Saccharomyces cerevisiae S288C: one gene and its partners. Changing the gene in region 2 together with the main gene of any one other region gives a genetic interaction. Each region holds a gene or a part of one and is shown on either strand. Other genes may lie near its edges.

Region 1 (2,914 bases), on a different chromosome or scaffold from region 2:
AAAATTACCTTTATGATTATATGAAAAGGTTTCAACAAATGTGCAAAGAATGCCGGTATGCTTGGAACGAAGAGGTTGACTATGACCAGAAACTAGAAATTAGAAAAAAATTACAGGTATGGAGGGCAAAATTTGAGGAAATGATGGATAACGAGATACAAATATTACAAAAAAACATGGATATCATGTCAAAGTTTGGTCTCAGAAGTGAGTCCTATCTTACAGCAGCGAATCACGATACAAATACACAACCAAATAATATTCTTCCCATGACGTACCTACTAAAAAAGAAATGACAATAGACTTTTAGGGCTTTAAGAAGAGTCCACGAAAGCACTTCACTATCATAAAGACTATATGTACCTTGATCAAAGAAATTATTGTCAAGATTTTATAGTAAGGGTATTATTTTGAAAACGGAGTCACCTGTTCTTTTATATACACACTTATATCTATCTATATGTCGATGTACATTCTTAGAACAAAAATCTGTCGGACCTTTACTGCGGCATTGTGACTTGAACATGGAAGCTAACTCCCTTGGGAAAAGCTGTTTTAGGCCTATCTGTTGGCCTGTCGATAAAAGACGCCAAGCAAATGACCTCTTCAGATGAATAACCTAAGGAAGACAACACGCCTCTAATAATTCCCACAGGTATCTCCAAAAACGGTTCTATCATTTTTAACTCCTCGTTTTTTGCATCTTCCTCCAAAGAAAATGATTGAATAGGTCGATAGTCATAATCAAGAAGGTAAAAGGTTCCTCTGTGGTTTGTTTTTAAATTATCGATCTGTTTACCAAATATTTGTTTCCAGACATCCCTACAAATGAACTTCATTATTAATAGAAGGTCCATTTCCTTGAATTTTAAATTTGGGTTGTTAGAAAATATCAATAACTCTGACAGCTTCAATCCGATTTGAAACCCAATATTCCTCAGTCTTGCTAAAACCTTTTCTTTTTCCTCTTCATCCGCCTTATACAGCTCATGTATCAAGTTATGAGAACGTATGATATCTACTGTATGATGTTCCTCTATCTTCAGTCTCTTTATCATATTGTTGATGTTACCATTTTCGGAAGTTACATTGCTATCAGAACTGATAACATCGCCTGATATTTGCCTCTCAATGCCCATAGCTAGAGGAACCATCTCGTTCAACAGCATCTGATACACAGATTGACTTACTTTTGGTAATGAATTCTCAAAAATTTGATATTGCTGTTGTGCTCTTTGTTGTTCCGTTAGTGGACCTTGTGGAGAAGATTGGGGATGTCCTACATTATTACTATGTGTAGAGGACATAATTGTTTATCTTCCAACTTTATAACCGGTGTATGTTTTCTTTTATGGCATGAGGTCTTCACTCTCAGCTTGTGAGTGCATACCAGATTCCAAAATATTTAGCATTTTTGGTCTCAAAACGTTGACGCGAGTTTTTGAAAACGATACGCTGGTTCTACTAATGTGAAGAAAGCAAATTTCTTATAAGTAAATTTTGTTTCATGGTTTTTATCATGTAGTTTTATATGTATAAATACGTTAAATGACTGTGGTAGAAAAATAATACAAATGCTATAAAAAAGTTTAAAAACGACTACTTTAGTTCGCTTTTAAAGCTGCCTCATTTGAGAGACTTTCAAATAGACATCGCTTAGGAACCAGATCCTTTTCAGATATATTAGTACCTTTAACAACTTTAAAGGAACCGGTACCGATCGACATCGTTTGACCCAAAATAATACATTCAGAAACACCTTCAACAGCGTCCTTTTTCATATAAAAGGCCGCATCGAATAAATGGTCAGTTGTCTTTTCGAAGGAGGCTAGCTGCAAAACAGAGTCCCTCATTTTACTCAAACCAAATCTTGTAATACCCAACACTTCACCCTTATATGTCATCACATCACCTAATAGTTGGATATGACGTGGATCGACACTCATACCGTGATTACTCATGGTATAGTTAATTTCTCTAATAATGCTATATCTTGCAGCTTCGATACCCAAAACGGAAAAGACTTCTAAAACATGGTTAGTTGTAGTTCTAGAACCAATGACACCATCTGTACACATCACATCTCGCAGGCCGTAACCTTCAACCAATAATTCCCTCTTGCCGTCATCGCGAATATTAATAACCGCACGAGAAATATCAGGTAAACCTTTAACAACAACATCAGGAAGCGCACGACGTAACTGTTGCATTCGGTAAAAAACATCATTCTCACTTGGTTCTTTCGCAGATGTAGATATCGATTTTGCTTTGTACCCTTCTGGGAATACGTTGATTGCAATTCGATCTTTACCAATAATATTGACATCAGAGGCTTGTATTTTCAATTTAGAAGCCCTGGTTATAGCAACCGCGATATCTTCTATGGTCAACTCCAATTGTAGTTTATCAATCGTACCTAAATCAATACGCACTTGAATGAAAGACAAGTTGTCTTTGTAAACATCTTGGACATAGAAAGCTACGTCAGATAGCAGTGTCTTTTCCACTCTACCTTTAACAACCCTAGCAGCCCTTTCATCGTTATCATTTACTAATACAGCATTTATAATAGGTGTAGAAATGACCTTGGAAGCATTGATAATTTCTTTGATACGAGGAACACCTAATGTAACATTCATGGAAGCCACACCTGCAAAATGAAAGGTCTTCAATGTCATTTGTGTACCTGGTTCACCAATGGATTGAGCACCAATAGCACCAATAGCAGTACCTGGCTCCAGTCTTGCCTTACGATATTTGAAAAGAGCAATTTCTAAAAACTTTCTCACCGATTTTTCACTGATTCTATAAAGTTGGCTTACAGATGTTTTAACATTATCAGGAACGGTTTCATCTGGATCAATACCTTGTAATTCTTTTGCAGGAGGTTCTAATAGGCCTAACATTCCCCTGG
Region 2 (3,073 bases):
CGGTATCTACACTATCGCAAACTAGAGACAAACGCCAATTTAATGAAGGAAATGCTATGAAACTTAGATAATGAAATAAAAAAAAACCCTTTTTTTTTTTTTGGTAGTATAAATATCTTTATACGTACATACGTGAACAATCACATCATATCTGTCAATTCTCGTTGTAACCATAACCTAGCACTTATTTCAGACTTTCCAAAGGTCGCAGTATCTTTATGACGAGCCATCCCATGTAAAAATTGCCGTGCCGGATATGAAGTGACAAAGATCAGTCTATATCTCGGAAAGCCAACAAATATCTTCATTATGAAGTAACGTATAGTGATTGCTTCCACATCTGTTCAATTCGGACAATTTTCGTTAGCAGTAGAGTCAAAGCGATCGCCTTAATTGTCTCCGTATCTTATTTATTCATGAACAGCATGACAATTGACAGTCACTTGAATGAAGTAGAAAGTTTGATTGTCACGGTCATCTGAGATATACTACCGGCACCTGATCCCCGCTAATTAGGCAAGGCGAAACTGTCACCAAGTTGGACATATTAGACATTAATAACTTCTCTGAATCGCTCTCACTCCAAAGCAGTGACATTAAATTTTGCTTTCATTCGTGAAAGAATCGACTAATAAATTATCATTTATAATTCAACTTCAGTTGAAATAAACAACTCATCAAATTTTCTTTCCAAGCTTTTTATAATGGACTTTTCGTCACCGCTAACAAGTAAAGGATTACATTTGACACGTATATAGATTTTTCTTACGGTTTCGAAAATCTGATTGATTGCTTCAAATTCATCATCAGCTCCACTTAGGCTTTTTTGTTCAAATCCAATGACAATCTTCAGGCCCGTCTGCTTAATCAACATAGCAAATACAGAGACACCTTCCAATTGAAAAATTGACTTCAGAAGAGGTTTGGAATCTAAAGAATGCCATTCAACCAAAGCACTTTCAAAATAATCTAACGATATGTTAGAAAGCACGTTATATTTGAGTACATCATTCATCTCATTCTCCGCCTCATTAGGGACGTAAATCAATATAGGTTTATCAGATTCATCTATCAATGATACGAAGCAAGGCCTCAAGCTCATAGTTTGGTGATATAAACGTACAATTTGATTTTTGGAGAGAATATTTACTCAATTTTCAACTCAATAACTTTTATGTAAAATGTTTCTTGGCCGTCGATGAGCTCTTCCGGCAGAACTTCGAAAGTGAAAAAAAAAAAAAAAAAAAAATAATAATAATATTAATACTACTTATATACTATTAAAAAATCGTTTAGAAATGATTCATTTATAAAATTCGTTACTTGCGGTCATTGGCAATAGATTCAGCTGCGGTTCTCCCAAAGACAACGCATTCTAACAAACTTGAACCACCCAACCTATTGGCGCCATGAACACCGCCAGAAACTTCACCGGCCGCGTACAGGCCTTTTAGTAGCCTTTCGTCGTTCTTGCCAATGACTTGAGCCTTGACATTGATTCTAGCACCACCCATGGTGAAATGGACAACCGGTGTTACTTCACCAATAAAAACCACAGTTTCTGGAGTAACGTCAGAGCCAAATTCGTTGAGAATAACGGTACGTCCCAACGGATCAGCCTTGGTAGTGAAGGAAGAGTATGTTTGCAATTCCTCGCATAATTGGGCGACAGTGATTGGTAAATTATATTCAGAAACAACTTGAGATAATGTCAATTTCTGTACAAGTTTCTTGAACATGTAAAAATCTAAATTATTCTTCAAATCTGTGTACATTTTTTCGCCCATAACCAATAGTGCTCTGTTATCCTCTTGAGGACAAACCTTTTGAATAGCTGCAGTGACTACATCTCTTGTGGTCAATTCGTTGACAAATCTTCTACCGGTAATAGGGTTTAATAGGATACCACCAAGACCTCTTAAGGATTCGGCAGCCAAGAATTTCCAGCTTGAGCTACGGTCATTTGGATCAATGAACCCAGTTGGATGAACTTGAATTTGGTCCATGTCAATCAGATCAGCGCCTAACTTCTGCAGAAGCCTTTGACCATCACCAGTTGTTTGTTGCCCGTTTGTTGTTGGCAAGTTCACCAGTTCGGGTGCGTATTCTTTAAGCATTTCCTTAGAAAAGCCAAACCCTCCAGAACAAAAAACGACATCGTTAGCACTCACCATGTGCTTTTCGCCATTCTTGTCCTCGTACACTACAGCAGAAATGGAGCCATCCTTTTCATGGATGTCTACGACTTTACTGTCTAAGTTAATCTTAACTAACTCTGGTTTAGTCTCAGCTAATTTCTTCAAATTGTTAGATAAGGCAGAAACAATTTCGAAACCTGGAGGCAACTTCCCAGACGATCTGTGAGTTCTTGCCACAGAGTGGCCACCCAATTGAGCCAATAGGTCCAATTTCAAATCAAATTCGTTTTTCAACCATTCAATAGCCAGGGGAGAATCATTGGCCAACTTAGCCATTAATTCTTGGACACCTTTACCTTTAGCAGACTTGATGGTGTCATCTTCAAATAAGCGTGGGGAGTCCTCGATGTGGAAGTGACGTTGAGTCTCGGTGCAAGCACCGTTAATACCACTGGAGGCCTTGATAGAGTTCCCACCGATCGAGGAAGCCTTTTCGAGGATGGTTACAGGGATGTTATACTTGTTAACCAATTCATTGGCAGCAGCCAGCCCGGCCAAACCGGTTCCAATAACAACAACGGGAGAGAGAGACATTTACAATTACGGATGAGGGGTTGTTGAAGTGAAGATAAGAAAAAAAAATGGGGTGCTATGTCAGCGTATTGTTCTCAGCTTTTATACGTGCAATAGATTAAGCTGTTCAGGAACGCGACGCGTTGCCCCCGTTACCGTTTGAAAAGAAAAAAATTTTCTTTTTCATACCTGTCTCTATTGTTTCAGTCATTCACTGCATGATGACAAATGAAAGAAGAAAGACAATAGTAGTAAAAGCAAAAAAGGAATTAAAGTGAACGTTTTTTAGACTCTTACGCATACATATAAATATATATATATATTTGTATAAAAGGTGTACGTCGAAATCCTGTGAAGAAACC
Region 3 (3,724 bases), on a different chromosome or scaffold from region 2:
AGAACCTTGCAATATGGTGATGCATCTTGTTCTTGTTGGAAAACTGGCTGTGGTGAAATGGATTTGTTCGAAATTTTGACCGCTGGTTCTGATAAATTAATCTCACACATCCATGACGGCCAAGATGGTGGTACTCAAGATTACTTCGAGAGACCAACTGATGGTACTTTAAAGGCTGCCGTAATCTTTAATTCAAGTGATAAAACTATTCACATTATCGAAGTCGACGAAAGCTTTGATGCTACTTTAAGCGATGATGTCGTTGACCAATGGTTGAGCAAGTCCGGTTCTTCTGCGGCCTTGCCATAGTCGATCGTTTCTTATTAACCAATAAAATTTTCCTTTTTTTCATTTATGTTTCACTTGCTATTTTTTTCCTTCCCCGTTATTATTTTTGTTTTAGGGTTTCTGTCCACTTTGAACAGATTGTGTTATTTTCCAAGAACAATACATTATTGTAAAAAAAAAAAAAAAAAAAAACTAAACTAAAAAAAAAAAATTCACTCTTAAAGTTTAGAGTTATGTTCTCTATCTATCTTTATCTTTATTATATACTATTAAAAACCAAGCTTCTGGACATTGTACTATTTTATAATCGAATTTTTTTCTCTTTAATTTTTATAGGAATGCATGTTACTTGTAATTCTTAAATACTAAGATTTAATACCTGTTATATATCTATACGCCATTGTTTTTGAGATTTATCCATGCTCACAATATTATAGGGGTAGAACAGTGGCAATTCAATCAGGTTAAGTCGGTAAATTTTGCGTGATTCTTTTCTATATCAAGGAAAACGCTGTCGTAGGGGATATTAGAATCTTTTCTTAATCTCTTACCCCTCGAATTATATTCGTGACGAGTAGGATTCCGCCTCTTTTCCTTATTCTTGTAAGACGATGTTAGTTTCCACTTGTGTAACTTGAACTTGTCACTCAACCACTGAATGTAATAGCGTTTGTTGTTAAATGGTCCCGAGCACAGCCAAGTATAAAATGTAAATTCACCGTATAATATGAAAAAGCCAAAAATGAATCCGGTAACCACGCAAGACAAGATGTGATTCTCTAGAGTTTTCATAAAATTGGCATCACCCGTATGCCAGGAGGAACCTTTAGATATTGAGAAAAAAGAATTATTATGCATTTTATAATCTGCAGGTTGTAAAATTCTTACCGCACCATTTTCGGCCGTATTAGACCATCTCTTATATTGCTTCCAAACCACACTAATGAATAAGGGGCCCGTAGAGCCCATGATTGTCATATATGGAATGTACCAGTTTTTCTTATAGTGTTTCAACGATTTGATGACCTTCAAGAAGAAGGGGTGCCTTGGAACAGAGCCCATCACATCATTTGACACTCCTGTAGGCGAAGTTTTCCTTAGAAATGCTGGTACTTTCAACAAAGGGTCTAGCCTTCTTTCACAACCATCATCCAAGTCAATGTAAATACCACCATAATGCGAAAGGATGAAATACCGTATTGCATCCGCCCTCTCAATTGGATATTCATAACTCCTAAAGGTGTCAAGAAACCACGGGTATTCCTGTTTAATGAAAGTATCAGACATTTCATCCGTCCATAAAATGTAAGTGTAATCCGGATGTAAATCAATGCACTTCTGCCTCCCTTTTACCCACTGTTCTGGGATATCGTTTGTTTTGTAGGTTTGATGAATGATTTTCGGTATGAGTTGAGGAGGAGACTCATAGAATGTTGAATTGAAGCCATTGGGGGGGTTCAGCTGTTCATCTGTTAGCGCATCTTTGGAAGTATCATCTATACATAACGTCAACAAATCAAATGTGTAATGTATTATAGAGATAAGTAATGCAATGTTCGCTATTATAAGAATTTTCAACTCCTTCTTCATCACGTATTAATTGGTTTACTGTAACTACTTTAGCACTGTTGTAAGGTGCACCGCTTCGCACTGCCTTGTTCGGTTGTTGAAATTATATTATATACGGTCAGCGCTCCTTGAGGAAGCTAATAAAAATCGTGTTGCGATGTAAATAATGAAGGAAATAAAAACAATACCCGTCTCGGTTATTCAACGGTGACAATGAAACTCTTCAAAATTCAAAGAGCAATGAATTTGCGGAGGTCAAAAACAAGAACAGAGAAAAAAACCAAGGGCGAGTCAGATGCGAAACGGCTTTAAACAAGCGAACTCCTTATAGTCAAAGAAGTTCAATTGAGGCCCCAGCATACAATGCGTTATTTCGTTTTGTTTTTCGTTTGTCTTTTTCCTCTTCGCTTTTTTTTTTTTTTTTTTTTTTTTCATTTTCTTTGATAATACGACCTCGGTAAATACGTCATGGAACACGCCCAGCTTTTAACCCCTGAAAAGCTCTCACTTTTACTTTCGCGTATAACTGAATGTTCCGTATATGACGATGAATATATTTTCTGATGGAGTTACCCATCATAATGTTGAAACTGAGTATATTGTATTCACTATATACTTTACTAGGCTATAATGACAGTGCAGTAGCATTTGTAATATAATAGCGAAATAGATTATAATGCTTATGATTCTTGGAAGTAGGGGTGGATGGCTGCTCTTCTGGCGCTAATCCGGTTAATAGGGTCATACGCGAGGAGTTTGTCCAACAAATCAATACCGCGTGGATCTAGACTTGGTACCACTTGTGATAGGTCTTTTCTGCGCCATTGAGGAAAGCTTGGCTTGAAATCAGGCAAGTAGACAATATCTGGCCATATAGCTTCATTCGGCGTTCCCAATACTCTGAATATCTTGAAAATCTGATCGATCTCACTATCGCCACTGAAGATTGGTTTCCTGTTACACATTTCGGCAAATATACAGCCGATGGACCATGTATCGACACCTGTACTATATTGTTTTCCACCCAGTAATACCTCCGGAGCTCTATACCATAGAGTAACAATTTCATGTGTGTAAGCTCTCAACGGAACACCAAAAGCACGCGCTAAGCCAAAATCACCTAGTTTTAGATTCCCATCTTTGTTAATCAATAAGTTCTGCGGTTTTAAATCACGATGCAGAATACGGTGTGAGTGGCAGTATGCAATACCCTTACAAAGTTGCATCATAAACTTCTTAACAATATCAGCTCCTAACGGTTGGTCCTTTGGAATACCCTCCATATATCTTTTCAGGTCCAAATCGAGGAACTCAAAAACAAGATATAGCTTGTGTGCATCAGAGTGAACAATATCGTATAATCTGACAATATTATCGTCTTTTAATTCCTTCAATAATGAGATTTCTCTGATGGCTGTACTGGGAACACCCTCGTCTTCACTCTCTAGTCTTATTTTCTTCAATGCGACTACTCTTTGACCTTGGCCAGGTCTTAAGTCTAACGCTTTATAAACAACACCGTATGTACCTTCACCGACTTTCTCAAGTCTTTTGTAATTTGCTAATTCACCGCTCATGTTCGAAGGATAGTTCTATTTGATCTGGGCTATTTTCCACTGTAGCTGATGTGCTGGCTTGAATATTTTTTCCAATATGATATTCTGGAAAAGCAGTATTAAATTTTCTTTCAAGAGGACTTGGTCCTTCCACCAATTTTTTTTTTTGAGTTCTTGTTGTTTTCCAAATTTTTCTCTTTTTTTCTCATTTAGGTTCGTTTTTATTTTTGGCGTTTGTTGCCCTAATAAGGCCATATATGTATATATTGGTACATAAGCAAGTATAATACATAAGCCATGCTTTTCTTGTA

Evidence for each region.
Region 1: mutations in TCA17 (region 2) and TRS33 impair growth when combined (synthetic growth defect), as found in Saccharomyces cerevisiae (2 studies listed by BioGRID, with this or other methods).
Region 3: of TCA17 (region 2) and CSH1, a mutation in one rescues a mutant of the other (synthetic rescue), as found in Saccharomyces cerevisiae (one study listed by BioGRID).

What each region holds. Positions count from the first base shown.
Region 1 is NC_001147.6:538,159-541,072, forward strand, and holds TRS33 (Trs33p), read right to left. Parts: upstream 1,308-2,914; coding exon 501-1,307; downstream 1-500. Other genes in the region: mitochondrial HMG-box protein CIM1, read left to right, coding at 1-296; DNA-directed RNA polymerase III core subunit RPO31, read right to left, coding at 1,605-2,914.
Region 2 is NC_001137.3:64,066-67,138, forward strand, and holds TCA17 (Tca17p), read right to left. Parts: upstream 1,103-3,073; coding exon 644-1,102; downstream 1-643. Other genes in the region: seripauperin PAU2, read left to right, coding at 1-25; FRD1 (fumarate reductase), read right to left, coding at 1,320-2,732. UniProt on the Saccharomyces cerevisiae protein: Required, together with the TRAPP II subunit TRS33, for TRAPP II complex assembly or stability, and for proper Golgi localization of TRAPP and the Rab GTPase YPT31.
Region 3 is NC_001134.8:559,788-563,511, reverse strand, and holds CSH1 (mannosylinositol phosphorylceramide synthase catalytic subunit CSH1), read right to left. Parts: upstream 1,879-3,724; coding exon 748-1,878; downstream 1-747. Other genes in the region: TOS1 (Tos1p), read left to right, coding at 1-309; cyclin-dependent serine/threonine-protein kinase CDC28, read right to left, coding at 2,538-3,434. UniProt on the Saccharomyces cerevisiae protein: Involved in the synthesis of mannosyl phosphorylinositol ceramide. Catalyzes the addition of mannosyl to phosphorylinositol ceramide.